2 linked regions of the Anolis sagrei genome follow. The protein of the gene in region 2 purifies or fractionates together with the protein of the main gene of each other region. This does not show direct contact. Links are inferred from orthologs where the notes say so. Each region holds a gene or a part of one and is shown on either strand. Other genes may lie near its edges.

What was found. The genes of interacting proteins can lie anywhere in the genome.
Region 1: the proteins of CKS2 (region 2) and PKMYT1 purify together in Homo sapiens (affinity purification with mass spectrometry; 3 studies listed by BioGRID and IntAct, counting the BioPlex papers as one, with this or other methods). This does not show direct contact. The link is inferred for Anolis sagrei from reciprocal best matches to the Homo sapiens genes CKS2 and PKMYT1.

What each region holds. Positions count from the first base shown.
Region 1 is NC_090026.1:23,688,045-23,695,344, forward strand, and holds the start of PKMYT1 (membrane-associated tyrosine- and threonine-specific cdc2-inhibitory kinase), read right to left. Parts: upstream 3,019-7,300; 5' UTR 2,773-3,018; intron 1-2,772. UniProt on the Homo sapiens protein: Acts as a negative regulator of entry into mitosis (G2 to M transition) by phosphorylation of the CDK1 kinase specifically when CDK1 is complexed to cyclins. Mediates phosphorylation of CDK1 predominantly on 'Thr-14'. Also involved in Golgi fragmentation.
Region 2 is NC_090022.1:234,206,037-234,213,579, reverse strand, and holds the start of CKS2 (cyclin-dependent kinases regulatory subunit 2), read right to left. Parts: upstream 3,011-7,543; 5' UTR 2,883-3,010; coding exon 2,824-2,882; intron 1,051-2,823; coding exon 923-1,050; intron 276-922; coding exon 223-275; 3' UTR 1-222. UniProt on the Homo sapiens protein: Binds to the catalytic subunit of the cyclin dependent kinases and is essential for their biological function.

The sequences.
Region 1 (7,300 bases), on a different chromosome or scaffold from region 2:
AAGAACTGGTGGGATCACAAGCCTGAAAAAGTTACAGAAAATGAACATGTCAAACTATTCTGGGACTTCCGAATTCAGATTGACAGTTTTGGAGCACAATACTCCTGACCTCACAATCATGTTAAAAAACGAAGTATGGATCTCTGATGTTGCAATCCCAGGTGACAGCAGGACTGAAGAGAAACAACTGGAAAAGCTGACACGATATGAGGATTTAAAGATCGAACTGCAAAGACTCTGGCACAAGCCAGTTAAGGTGGTCCCAGTGGTGATTGGCACACTGGGTGCAGTGCCTAAAGACTTTGTCCTGCACTTAAAAACAATCGGCGCTGACAAACGACCATCTGTCAGCTGCAAATGGCCACCTGACTCCGATCTGCACGCAACATTCGCCAATACATCAAGCAGTCCTAGCCATTTGGGAAGTATCCGACATATGATCCAATAGAAGAACCAGCATAGTGATCTTGTTTGCGGCGTACTAATATTGTTACGTACCTAATGATGATGATGATAGTAATAATATATATATATATATATATATATATATATATATATATTAAAAGCACAGCAGACAATGAACCAGTACAAGAAAACTGCACTCCAAACCAGAGCTGACAGCTGACACAACAAAGCATTGCATGGGCAGTTCCTTGACAAAATTGAAGGAAAAGTTGATAAGGAGAATACCTGGTTATGGTTATGAAGAAGGAGACAGAAGGCCTGATTTTTGTAGCCCAGGAGCAAGCCATCAGAACAAATGCAATTAAGGCCAGGATTGAAAAATCAGCTGATGACCCAAAATACAGACTGTGCAAGGAAGCTGATGAAACCATGGTCATCTCCTCAGCTGTTGCAAGAAAATCACAAAGATGGACTACAAACAAAGGCACAACTCTGTGGCCCAAATGATTCACTAGAACTTATGTCACAAGTACCACCTGCCAGCAGTAAAGAATTGGTGGGATCATAAACCCGCAAAGGTGGTGGAAAATGAACACGCAAAAATACTGTGGGACTTTCGAATCCAGACTGACAAAGCTTTGGAACACAATACACCAGACATCACAACTGTGGAAAAGAAAAGAGTTTGGATTATTGATGTCGCCATACCAGGTGACAGTCGCATTAAGGAAAAGCAACAAGAAAAACTCAGCCGTTATCAGGACCTCAAAATCAAACTGCAAAGGCTCTGGCATAAACCAGTACAGGTGGTCCCAGTGGTCATTGGCGCACTGGGTGCCGTGCCAAAAGATCTCAGCCAGCATTTGGAAACAACAAATATTGACAAAATCACAATCTGTCAACTGCAAAAGGCCACCTTAGTTGGATCTGCATGCCTCATTCGAAAATACATCACACAGCCCTAGACGCTTGGGAAGGGTTCAACTTGTGATTTTGTGATACAAAATCCAGCATATAGATCTCATTTGCTGTGACATACTGTGGTTTTGTGTCAGTAAAATTATTATTATTATTATTATTATTATTATTATTATTATTATTCGCCGACACATCACACAGTCGTAGACACTTGGGAAGTGTCTGAAGTGTGATCCAATACAACAGCCAGCAGAGTGATCTTGTCTGCTGCGGAGTCATCTTGTTGTGTTTCAAATAATAATAATAATAATAATAATAATAATAATAATAATAATAATAACAATAATAATAATACACATAATTTGAAAATACATCACACAGTCCTGGATGCTTGGGAAGTCTTCAACTTGTGATTTTGTGACACAAAATCCAGCATATAGATCTCGTTTGCTGTGACATACTGTGCTTTTGTGTCAGTAAAATTATTATTATTATTATTATTATTATTATTATTATTATTCGCCGATACATTACACAGTCCTAGACACTTGGGAAGTGTCCGACATGTGATCCAATACAACAGCCAGCAGAGTGATCTTGTCTGCTGCGGAGTCATCTTGTTGTGTTTCAAATAATAATAGTAATAATAATAATAATAATAATAATAATAATAATAATATACTTGGGAAGTGTCCAACGTGTGAGCCAATACAATAGTCAGCACAGTGTCTGCTGTGGACTCATCTTGTTGTGTTTCAAATAATAATAATAATAATAATAATAATAATAAAGTGTCTGACGTGTGATCCAATACAACAGTCAGCACAGTGTCTGCTGTGGACTCATCTTGTTGTGTTTCAAATAATAATAATGATAATAATAATAATCATCATCATCATCATCATCTTGGGAAGTGTCTGACATGTGATCCAATACAACAGTCAGCACAGTGTCTGCTGTGGACTCATCTTGTTGTGTTTCAAATAATAATAATAATAATAAAATAATAATAATACACTTGGGAAGTGTCTGACGTGCGATCCAATACAGCAGCCAGCAGAGTGATCTTGTCTGCTGTGGACTGATCTTGTTGTGTTTCAAATAATAATAATAATAATGTCATCTGGCAACTTTAACTGAGAGGGAGGGAAAACAGGATAATATTTCCTCCAGCACACAATAATAATAATTTTAGTGACACCTAGGAGCCTCAATTCACACAGGAAGGGAGAAAAAGACTATATTTCCATCACTAACATCATAATAACACAACATTCTGGCAACCTTAATTCTCAAAGGGAGGGAGAAAAGAGCCATGCTTCCACCAATATACAGCATTACCATTAACAATAAAGGATATCTGTCAAGCCCCCCTTTCCCTTCCTTCCCCTCTCAATTCTCCCCAATTTAAGACATCCCCCCATATTTGGGAGGCAGGGAACGCCTTGCCTCTTGGCCTCTCCAATTTCCTCTGAAGTGTTGAGGGAATATTTCTCTCTCGCCAGACACACACACACAAATACCCGGATGCAGCCGCCTTCTCTTCTCTTCTCCTTCTCCTTCTCCTCTCCTCGCGCCAAGGGCGACCCCTCCCACTCCCCTTCCTCAGAACGTTGGGGGCCAACGCTCCGCGCTCGCGCCAAAATTCCAAACGGGCTCGCCCACTTCCGCCTCGCCTACGTCACCGCGGCAGCAGCAGCAGCAGTGCGCGCGCACTCAGAAGCGAGGGAAAGGATGGGGGGGGGTTAAGAGCGCGGGAAGGCACAAGCCCCGCCCCCTTTCCTCTTTTCCCCCCCTCCCCCGCCATTTTTTTTCTCTCTCTCTCTTTTAGCCAATCAGGAGCCACCAAAGGAGGTGATTGACAGGAAGGAAAGAGACACGTCTTGGCTGTGTCTTACGGTGTCTAACTCAGGCATAGGCAAACTTGTGCCCTTCAGATGTTTTGGATTTCAACTCCCACCATTCCTAACAGCCTCAGGCCCCTTCCTTTTCCCCCTCAGCCGCTCCTAACAGCCTCAGGCCCCTTCCTTTTCCCCCTCAGCCGCTCCTAACAGCCTCAGGCCCCTTCCTTTTCCCCCTCAGCCGCTTAAGCGGCTGAGGGGGAAAAGGAAGGGGCCTGAGGCTGTTAGGAATGGTGGGAGTTGAAATCCAAAACATCTGAAGGGCTCAAGTTTGCCCATTCTTAGTCTTAACTTAATGACAAACTTGTGTCAGTGACAAAATGCAGCTAGACTAGAATTAACACAGTTTGGCACCACTTTAACTGCCAGGGCTCAATGTTTGGAGTGTGTAGTTTTTGTCATGAATGCTGGGGAAAGCATTTCATTTCGTTGTACAATGTACAACCACACCACAATTGAAGAGAGGTATTGACAAGCTGGAATGTGGCCAAAAATGATCAAGGGTCTGGAGAACAAGCCCCATGAGGAGCGGCTAAAAGAGCTCAGCCTTTTTAGCCCGAAGAAGAGACGGCTGAGAAGAGACATGATAGCCATGTATAAATATGTGAGAGGAAGTCACAAGGAGGAGGGAGCAAGCTTGTTTTCAACTGCCCTGGAGACTTGGACGTGGAACAATGGCTTCAAACTACTAGAAAGGAGATTCCATCTGAACATTAGGAAGAACTTCCTGTGAAAGTTGTTCAGCAGTGGAACTCTCTGCCCCGGAGGCTTCTTCTTTGGAGGCTTTTAAACAGAGGCTGGATGGCCATCTGTCGGGGGTGCTTTGAATGTAATTTTCCTTCTTAGCGGGGGGTTGGACTCAATGGCCCGTGAGGCCTCTTCCAACTCTATGATTCTAATGTCCTGAACAGTTCTGGTCCAGATTACCTGTCTGAACGTATCTCCTGCTATGAACCATCACAAAGCTTAAGATCATCAGGAGAGGCCCTGCTCTCGATCCCACCACTTTCGCAAATGTTGTTGGTGGGGACGAGGGACACTACCTTCTCGGTAGAACCCCCCTGTCTGTGGAACTCTCTCCCTAAGGACATCAGGTTGGCCACCTCCCTCCTGTCCTTTAGAAGACAACTGAAGACCTGGCTCTGGGGCCAGGCATTTGATTAGAGACCAGTGGCAATAGGAAAAGGAAATTTGGATTTTGTGATATAGATTCTCCCAGCTCGGCTTGGTTTTTACTGGCACATTAATTTTTAATTTATTGTTAAATTTTACTCTTTTTTTTTTTTGTCGTGTCAGGAGTATTGGCCATCTGCAAGGACGTTGCCCAGGGGACGTCTGGATAATTTTTGATGTTTTATCATCCTTATGGGAGGCTTCTCTCATGTCCTCGCATGAGGAGCTGGAGCTAATAGAGGGAGCTCATCCGCCTCTCCCCGGATTCGAACCTGTGACCTGTCGGTCTTCAGTCCTGCCGGCACAGTGCTTTAACCCACTGCACCACCGTACAATGTTTTTATTGTGAATTGTAATTTTTATGGTATTTATGCTGTTAGTATCTTCTAATGCTCATGTGAGGTTGCGCTGAGTCCCCCTTGTGGGAAGAAGGGCGAGATATAAATATTTAAAATAAAAATAAATAAATAAATGGACCACCACGTGTTCGCAAGAACTAAAATATGGTCCACGACCTTACTGTTACTACACCATTGCAACAAGAGTGACTGGTCTCATGAAACCCTCTTATAGTGCTGAGGCTTATTAAAGATGGTTTTTGCCATCTGTGGTGAGCACATGGCGACTACTGGATGTCATATGTTCTGTACAGAAACTAGAGCTTATGTGGTCTATCTAATGCAGTTTTCTGAGTCTGCACCCCAAATAACCATGCTGAATCAAAAGTTAACCAAAAACTTATTCGGAACCCTTTTGGTAATAAAGTTGGAGAGTGGTCCCTGGTCAAAAAAAGGTTGGGAATCACTGATTTAAATTCTCATTTCAGTGAAGACAATGATGCAAGACCCAGGAAACAAAAGGTGGCCATCCTGGCTGACCGGAGGGCTTGACTGCCCTTTCAGAAGGCTAATGTATTCATATTTGTTTTAGCCTTTTCTTTAAACCATAAGCTTCCAGACATATTTTAACAGGTAAAACAGCGTCAACATAGCCCTGGCGATAAAGGGATTATCTGTCTTGTATACACACATAAAGGAACTGATATTATCTAGCTTGAGAGATCACTGGGAGAAACCTTTTTAATTGTTCAGCAATCTCCGTTCCCTGAAGCTTTTGTAAATAGGGGGCACTGAGAAAAACAGCTGCCTTCATAACGTATTTGATACAGTTTTATACATGTAGGGATTGATATAGTATACAATCAAAACAAGTTACACAATAAATATTTTATACATTTATTAAAGGGTTTAGACATGATATAGTTCGGGGTACAGTTGCTGCTGGATCCTTTCCGAACCTCCAAAGGCTTCGATATTGCGTAACTTTGAAAGAGCGGAAAATGTTTTAACAATAAAAAGAAATTCGAATCTCTTGCTTGGAGTCCCTCTGAAGGTTCAGATCAATTTGGGGAGGGGGTGCTGTGGCTCAACAACACTGTCACTCAATCCTGAAATTGATTCTGAATTAGCTGTCATCCCAACAATAGATTTCTGCTGCTCTTCAGAGTTGCTGTTACCTATCTGAGTCATGCCATCTTTTCCAGGTCACTGAGTTTATGGATAGCCTTCTCTATGCAGAGTTGAGGCCAGGTCCATTGTTTCAATTTTGCTATTTAGGTTTTAATAATATGCCAGGAAAAGTTGATGGTTCCTGATGTTTTATTTAAACAAACAAACAAATTTGATTGTTGCTTCAGCACAACATTATCTCCGATTTATTTCCATAGCTCTTTTGTCTTCATGAAGAAGTTTTGTATCCATTTATTCTCCAACAAACTTAATCTTTCCAGAAACAAGTTTATTTATATCTGAGATCATGTGGCCCTCAACTGTACATAACAGGACTATTCATCTACTGGTGTTGTTCTTATATTTTATGGCCTGTTAAGGATTGTTTTGAATTAATATTTTAAATAGTTATGAATTTGTAAACTTTTGTATTCATTGTGTAATTGTATCTGGTTTTAATTTATATTGTGAATAGTTTAAGATCCCATATTGGGATAAAGGCAGGGTACAAATTCCGTTCATTAAGGTCCCTTCCACACAGCGGAATAAAATCCCACATTATCTGCTTTGAACTGGAAAATATGACAGCGTGGACTCAAGATAACCCAGTTCAAAGCAGATACTGTGGGATTTTCTGTCTGGGTATTCTGGGATATAGGGCTGTGTGGAAAGGCCCTAAGTAATGACTGCTGGAGTCAGAGGCTTGCACCAGAACTTTAAAACTGGCTTCTCTGGCTTGAACTGAGGCCAGGAAATTCCTTCCTTCTCTGGTTTAAAACTGGCTTCTCTGGCTTGAGCCGAGGCCAGGAAATTCCTTCCTTCTCTGGTTTAAAACTGGCTTCTCTGGCTTGAGCCGAGGCCAGGAAATTCCTTCCTTCTCTGGTTTAAAACTGGCTTCTCTGGCTTGAGCCGAGGCCAGGAAATTCCTTCCTTCTCTGGTTTAAAACTGGCTTCTCTGGCTTGAGCTGAGGCCAGGGACCTGAAGCAGGGAAAAGCTGAATAATTTCCGACTCACTTCCTGAGTTGTAACAAAAATGGCGGAAAAAGCTTAGGAAGAGCAAAAGGACTTTCAATTTTTTTAAAAGCTTCAATATTGCTTCAAAAAGGTAATTTTAATGAAATTATTACAAGCAACGAGTTATCCGACGTGACTCTATCCATGCCTAGTTACAATCCTCGCAATAGTGTCACAATTGTGACTAAATAGCTGTCGTGAATACAGAACAGTTACCTAGATTTACTGAACTGTAACTGTTCCGGATTCATGATTGATACTTAGTCATAAATGTTAAAATGAGCACCAAGCTTTATGTTGGACAATATTGTGCTTTTCTCTCCTGTAATAACAAAAACACAAGACTAAACGATTGTATTTTTTAATTGAAAAGAAACTGG
Region 2 (7,543 bases):
CATAAACGTTATTGAACAAAATAGACAAGATCAAATAGGCACTTGTTAACAGTAAGAGTTTATGATCATAGCAGCCTACTTCGTTTGCACTTTACTGAGCTCTGTTGCTGTGAATAATACAGCTCATGCACAGGTAATGACGTATTTGTACATTCTCAAGTATTCACTGAATACTACCAACATATATACATTTTTACAAAAGATTCCAGAAGTTGAGAGAAGTCATTTCTGCTGGCCTTTTGGAAGTGGTCTTCTAAAAAGGAGGATGTGTGGTTCTGTAAAAAGAAAAGCAAAGGAGCTTTCAGCTGCCTGTTGAAAAACTGCAGTCTGATACATCTTACTCTGCTCATTCATTTAACACTGCAATCGCTAAACTGATTTTATATTCTGAACAAGGAGAATTTAGATCTGGAGATTTTGACTGGGGGGGGGGGGGCAATCCCGAGTAGTTCTGCCTCCCTTAAAAAGCATGCAAAACAAACACAATGTGATTGCAAATTAAACAAGTACACAAATATTAGGCTCCAATTTAAAAATCAGGCAAATAGGTGCTGAAGGATATACATAGTGCCATAACTATAAATTCATTCAATATTCGGTTTATGCTCAGCAACCCCATTGGGAAAAAACCCTTTTACACTTGGGAGGATCGAAATTAACTATAAGCTAGGTGAGTGTGCTTTCTTTTGAACAGGCCCTTGTTTATTTAGAGCATTTATACAGTGCCCTTAAACACAAACGTTACCAAATACGATTAACATGTGTCAAAAGAGCAATTGAAGAAAAAATGTTTAATTACTGCATCAATTTTTTAAGTTTAAGCATGCAAGGTTAATCAACACAACCTGTACATGTTCATAACTTCTACTCTTATTTAGAGATCATCCCCACCCACCTTCCCAGTACAGTTGAATCCTTTTACCTGGTTCATGAATCATGTAGTGGACCCAGCCAAGGCTCTGTTGGACTCCAAGTCGTCGCCATTCTTCTTCGGTCATTAGATGAGTTTTCGGTACTTGTTTTGAGAGCTCTCTTGGCAGCATCACATGTCTACCAGGGGCAGAAATTTCAATGACTCATGTTTCTTTCATTTTGAAAACAATCATTGTTTCGTATTGATGAAATGATAATTGGCAAAACCTTGCAAGAATTATTTCTAATGCTTTTTTTAAAAAAAAATGTAGACAATACGTTTGGTAGAAAAGGGGACCCTGAACTATCAAGTGTATAAGCTGCTGCTTGCATACCTTAAAATGTTTAGATTATTTGATCATAGAATCATAGAGTTGGGCCATCCAGTCCAATCCCCTGCCAAGAAGCAGGAAAATAGCTTTCAAAGCACCCCTGACAGATGGCCATCCAGCCACTATTTAAAAGCCTCCACCACACTCTGGGGCAGAAAGTTCCATTGCTGAATAGCTCTCACAGTTAGGAAGTTCTTCCTTTATTTTTTAAAAATATAATTCAATACATTTGTTATACATTTTTTTTACGGCAGGCACATAATATTCAATACAATCTACCATACATTAACTTTTAGCATCTACTGTTATTTTTACAGATACATATTTTCTATCCCTCACCACCGTGTTCCCCTCCCCCAGAGCCACTGCTTTTGTATATCTGTCCAAAGTTCTTCCTAATGTTCAGGTGGAATCTCCTTTCCTGTAGTTTGAAGCCATTGTTCCGTGTCCTAGTCTCCATGGCAGCAGAAAACAAACTTGCTCCCTCCTCCCTATGACTTCCCCTCACATATTTATACATGACCATCATGTCTCCTCTCAGCTTTCTCTTAACCCATACTTTGAAAGATTATTGGGTAGAATTTTTTTTCCGTGTCAGGAGTGACTTGAGAAACTGCAAGTTGCTTCTTGTGTAGATGATTTGCAGGTTTTAGGGTGGCAACATGGTAATCAGAAATCACAATAAAGACAGCAAAGAGTTTACACTACACACAAGGGTCTCAACTACATGAAAAGGCCATTAGCAATACCCAGTGTGTTTGAGTGGATAGTGCTGTCCTCATACTGGGTGATCCACACTCACAATTAATTCATACATGGAGTTTGTTAATGGCAATTTGGGCCAGTCTCCATCTTTTAACTTAGTTCCCCAGTTTCAGTTCATGAATATCACACCTTCAAGTTAACTGCACTGGTCAGTGTTTTCCAAACTATGATGTTCCAATGTCTTGGTCTTCTCTTCCCAGAATTCATAACTGTTGGCTGAGGATTCTGGGAGTTTAAATCCAAAACAGGAGATCCAAATTTCAGGAATCACTAGATAGGGTTTTCTTAACCAAAGGGAACTCAAGAGGTGGGTTTGCCAACTTCTTCCTGATGTCTCCCATCCAATCTCTTAACTAGGGCTGACCCTGCTCAGCTTCCAAGAGCAGGCAGGATCTGGAGCCTTAAGGTATCTAGGCTCTAACTCAGTGGTTCTCAACCTGTGGGTCCCCAAATGTTTTGGCCTTCAACTCCCAGAAATCCTAACAGCTGGTAAAGTGGCTGGGATTTCTGGGAGTTGTAGGCCAAAACACCTGGGGACCCACAGGCTGAGAATCACTGCCTAACTCCAAGGCTGAAAATGGAGGAAGGGAAAAAGAGACCTCCCCGTTAGTTTTACAAGGCCTTTAGCCTTCTCTGCCAAACTACAAATTCTAGGAGCCCAAAAACTTGGGCCATGCCAGTTATAGTGGTGTCAAACTACATTCATTCTACAGTGAGGATCAAGTATGGGCCACCTCGGCCCTTCAGGTGTTTTGGCCTTCAACACCCACAATTCCTCAAAGAGAAATAGCCCCCCTCTCTCTCTCTCTCTCACCGGTACTCGTAGTTCTCGTCGTAGTATTTGTCCGAATAATAGATCTGTTTGTGAGACATAGCGGCGAAGAAAAAGAAGAAGGCGGCCTCTATCCCAGCCGAAACCACCTCACCGGCCCAGCGCTCTTCCGTGGCTAACAGACGCGCCTGGCGCAACTCTCCATTTGAATCCCACACCTCGACGCCGATTGGGCGGCCGGGAGCGCGCGCCGTCACGTGGTGCGCGTCTATTTGGTTCCTCCCCGCCCGCTATGGTTTCTCCTGGTCCTCTGACTACTTCCACCAATCAGAAGACGCCGTGAGGGAGGCGGAGAAACCATTGTGAGCAAGTGCAGGGGGAGAAGGGGGAAAAACAATTGCGAGACGGCCCGACGGCAATGCGCATGTCTGGAGCCGGGATTAGAAATGGTGGTTGTTTTTGTCGCTGACGTCACTTTCTTCTCCAAGAGGCGTGGCGTTGGGTTTCCTAAATCCAACCCAGTTGAATGATAGAGTGATTTATACTTAGGATGAGTTACTAGCCCACAATTACTTTACCGAGGGTGCACCTACACTGTAGAATGAATGCATTTTGACACCATTTTAGCTTCCCAGCCCAAAATGCTATGCAATCATGGAGTTGTAGTTTGGTGAGGCAGAGAAAGCTACTGACCTTGTAAAACTACAACTCCCAGGATTCCATGGCAGTTAAAGTGATGTCAAATCCTGATTAATTCCACCCTTATTAACTGTAGATCAGGTATGGGCCAACTTGGGCCCTCCAGGTGTTTTGGACTTCAACTCCCACCATTCCTCACAGCCTCAGGCCCCTTCTACATTGCCATATAAAATCCAGATTATCTGCTTTGAACCGGACTATCTGGAAGTGTAGGCTCATATAATCCGGTTCGATCATCCGGTTCGATCATCAATCTCTCACACTAAAACTGGGATTTATTTTGGGGCTGGCAGGACTGAAGGCTAACAGGTCAGAGGTTCGAATCTAGGGAGAGCGTGGAAGAGCTCCCTCTGTCAGTTCCAGCTCCCCATGCAGGGCCATGAGAGAAGCCCCCCACAAGGATGGTAAAACATCAAAACATCCGGGTGTCCACTGGGCAACGTCCTTACAGACAGCCATTTCTCTCACACCGGAAGCGACTTGCTGTTTCTCAAGTCGCTCCTGACACAAATAAATAAATAAACGGGGGTATGGGTTATATTACAAACACCCTAGGGTTTCTTTTCCAGTTAAGTCTTTTTCTTTCTTTCAGGGAAATGGAGTATCTCCTGTCCACCAGGAAGTGTAGAAACACCCCTGGAGTGAGAATTGGTCTAAATTATTATTGAATTGTCGAAGGTTTTCATGGCTGGAATCACTGGGTTGTTGTAGGTTTTACAGGCTGTATGGCCATGTTCTAGAAGCATTCTCTCCTGACCTCACAACCTCAGAGGATGCTTGCCATAGATGCAGGTGAAACGTCAGGAGAGAATGCTTCCTGAACATGACCATATAGCCCAAAAATCCAACGCCTAGCCAATCCCATAACCAGGTTTTCACTTTTTTCCTGAACACCAGGAAGGAGGGGGCCAATCTGATATCTCTAGAGAGGAAGTTCCATAGCTGAGGGCCACTACTGAGAAGGCCCTGACTCTCGTCTCCACCAGTCGCGCTTGCAATGTGGGTGGGACCAAGAACAGGGCCTCCCTCACAGATTTTATCTCTCTAACCAGTTCATAGAGGGAGATACATTCAGACAGGTAAGTTGGACTGGAGCCATTTAGAGCTTTATAGGCCAAAGCCAGCACTTTGAATTATGCTCGGTAGCAGATTGGCAACCAGTGGAGCTGATGTTACGGGGATTGAATGCTCCCTGTATGTCGCCCCAGTGAGGAATGTGGCTGCTTCCAAACAGTCTTCAAAGGCAGCCACACTTAGAGTATGTTACAGTAGTCTTTTCAAGATGTAACAACAGCATGGACCACTGTGGCCAAGTCTGACTTCCCAAGATATGAGCGCAGCCGGCACACAAGTTTCAATATACATATAGAGGTATTAAAATATGTAGTTAAGATCAATCAAACCATTCAAAAATCTATTAAACTACATACAACACAGCATCTCTGGTCCATTCTTCAAAACATTCTTCCTTAAAAGCCTGCCTGAAAAGAAAACTTTAGTATACTATCCTCCCAGGTGAAGCGCTTCAGTCTCTCACACTAAAACAATAGGGATTGACATTTAAAGTGTGCGAACTCTAAATAGCCTTTGAATTATTCTTAATAGTCCGTCACCTCTTGAGTCCTTGGTGCAAAAGTTTAGATGTTCATCAGATATTTGTGTTGCCCTTATTCCCCTCAGTGGCAAAACAAAAACAAAAAAACGAAACTACAGATACATCTACACTGCAGAAAGTATGCAGTTTAACTGCAACGGCTCAATGCTATGGGAGATGTAGTTTTATTAGATCTTCAGCCTTCTCTGCCAAAGGGTGCTAGTGCCTCACCATACTAAAATCTAATGATTCCATAGCATTTAATCACAGAAGTTAAAGTAGTGTCAAACTACATTGATTCAAAGTACAAATCCAATGATTCCACTATGTCGACTCTTAGCCCATCTAATTCTAGAAGAGACAACAAGACCTTGAAGAAAGTAGGTCAACATTGTTTGAAACTGGTATGGACAGTCTTTCCTTCAAAATCCACATCACAGGAAGAGCTCCAAGACACAAAGAGGCTAAGCAGTCTTAATCTTCATACCTTATTTGTTTGCTTTAGTTTGCTTTAAGGCTCCCAAAAGTTAATGACTATCTTATACAAAGCACATCCTTTGGACTGCGAGGAGCCCCTAAGCTTTATTATGGCTCCTTTACTCGCTCCAGGACCTTGGATGGCTCTTCTGGGAAAAGGTGAATTCATCAGGGAAGCTTTAAAAAATACTCATTTTTTCTTTCAAAAATGAGATCCATCCAGCCATTTCTGGTTTGTTGTTCTTTATCATTTGAAATAGTCTGTGTGTTGCCCACCGTGATCTAAACCAGAGCTTTCCAAACATTTCAATTCAGTTTTCTTAGTAAACTGGAGGTTACACTAACTCCTCATAAGAGGTACAGACACATACATCAATTGTGATAAAGAAATGTGGGAGGACACAACCTATCTCATGGAAACATTTCCTTTTAAAATATATGATTTATTGCTTCTTTTCCATAGACTCTGAGGAGTCTTGTTATATTTGCCCAACATACTTACACAGTGCAGCTGATTCACTAAGATGTCACAACACACAGTGTTTGAAAAGCTCTGATCTAAATGGTACATATCATAGCAGATTTGCAAAGTGCTTGGATCAAAGTGCAAATGGATATCTGTTAAAAAATAAGGCATTTTAATGTAAACCACCTTAAAATAAAGATAAATATTTTAACATTCAAGTTCACAAGTAAGATACTCTCTGCCCTTAAGCTCAAGATCTAAAAAGTATGACACACAAACAGCAAGGAAGAGGAATGAGGAAGAAAAAAGCAGGCTCGGCCACCAATTCTGGAAAACACATTTCCTATCACAATCAGCTGGAATGGAACATTTCAGGTTGTTATGAACTGACATCGAGTTGACTTCAAGATATGATGACCTTATGAATAGACTGATAGTGCTGCAGTGTTACATTTCTGTTTGGTAAAAAAGTAAGTAAGACTACATGATCTAAGGGATCCCATTCAGAAAAGAAAACACAGTGAGGAGAAAGCTGTTTTTTTCAATCTGTCAAGGCAGAATGCTAAAATTAAAGGCTGGTTGATTTCCTATATTTTGAGGCTTTTTGTAATTCAAAAATTTGCTGCAACAAGACGAACAAGTCACCTTGTCACCAAGTCTTGTAAACAGAAGGCCGTGGCTTCCCTGATCAGAATGGATCTGTACTGTAGATTTAATTCAGTTTGACACCACTTTAACAACTATGGTTCAACAGCATTTGGAATTTGGTGAGGCATCAGCACACTTTGGCAGAGAAAACTAAAGACCTTGTAAAACATCACTTGCCATGATTCCACAGCATTGAGCCATGGTAGTTAAAGTGGTGTCAAACTGTATTGATTCTACAGTATACATGAGAGTGAAAAACTGCTAATCTCTCAGCAGAGGAAATGGATTAATCTAGTTTCTCTTTTGCTTTGCAGTCTCATATAGTAGCTGCGGCTAGTTATACTTGATAAAGGGAAGGCCAAGCTACATTTAAAGAGGAATGTTTTGCCCCATAACTTCTATAGTTTGGGTAATGTTATTGGAAACACTATTTTATCTTAGGGAACTTGGTAAGCTATTGATAAGCTATTGGTAGGGTTGTGCAGCCTGAGCACCAAATCTGTTCCCCAGCTTCTGAAATCTATTTTCCCAAATTTTGAGTGTCTGTTAAGTGTTGGTGGATTAATTATAGCATGGGAAGATTTTCAAGGAAAATTGTTGATGAAAGAAAAGTTGATTTACCCAAACCACATGTTTACAGTCTCCAACCTGCATGCCAGTTAAGGTTTTATTGGTGTCATGTCTCTCCACCAAATGGCAGTGAAATTTGGGGTGGTTTGTTGTTCAGTCACTTCCAACTCTTTGTGACCTCATGGACCAGCCCACGCCAGAGCTCCCTGTTGGCTGTTGTCACCCCCGGCTCCTTCAAAGTCAAGCCAGTCACTTCAAGGATACCATTCATCCATCTTGCCCTTGGTCTGCCCCTCTTCCTTTTTCCT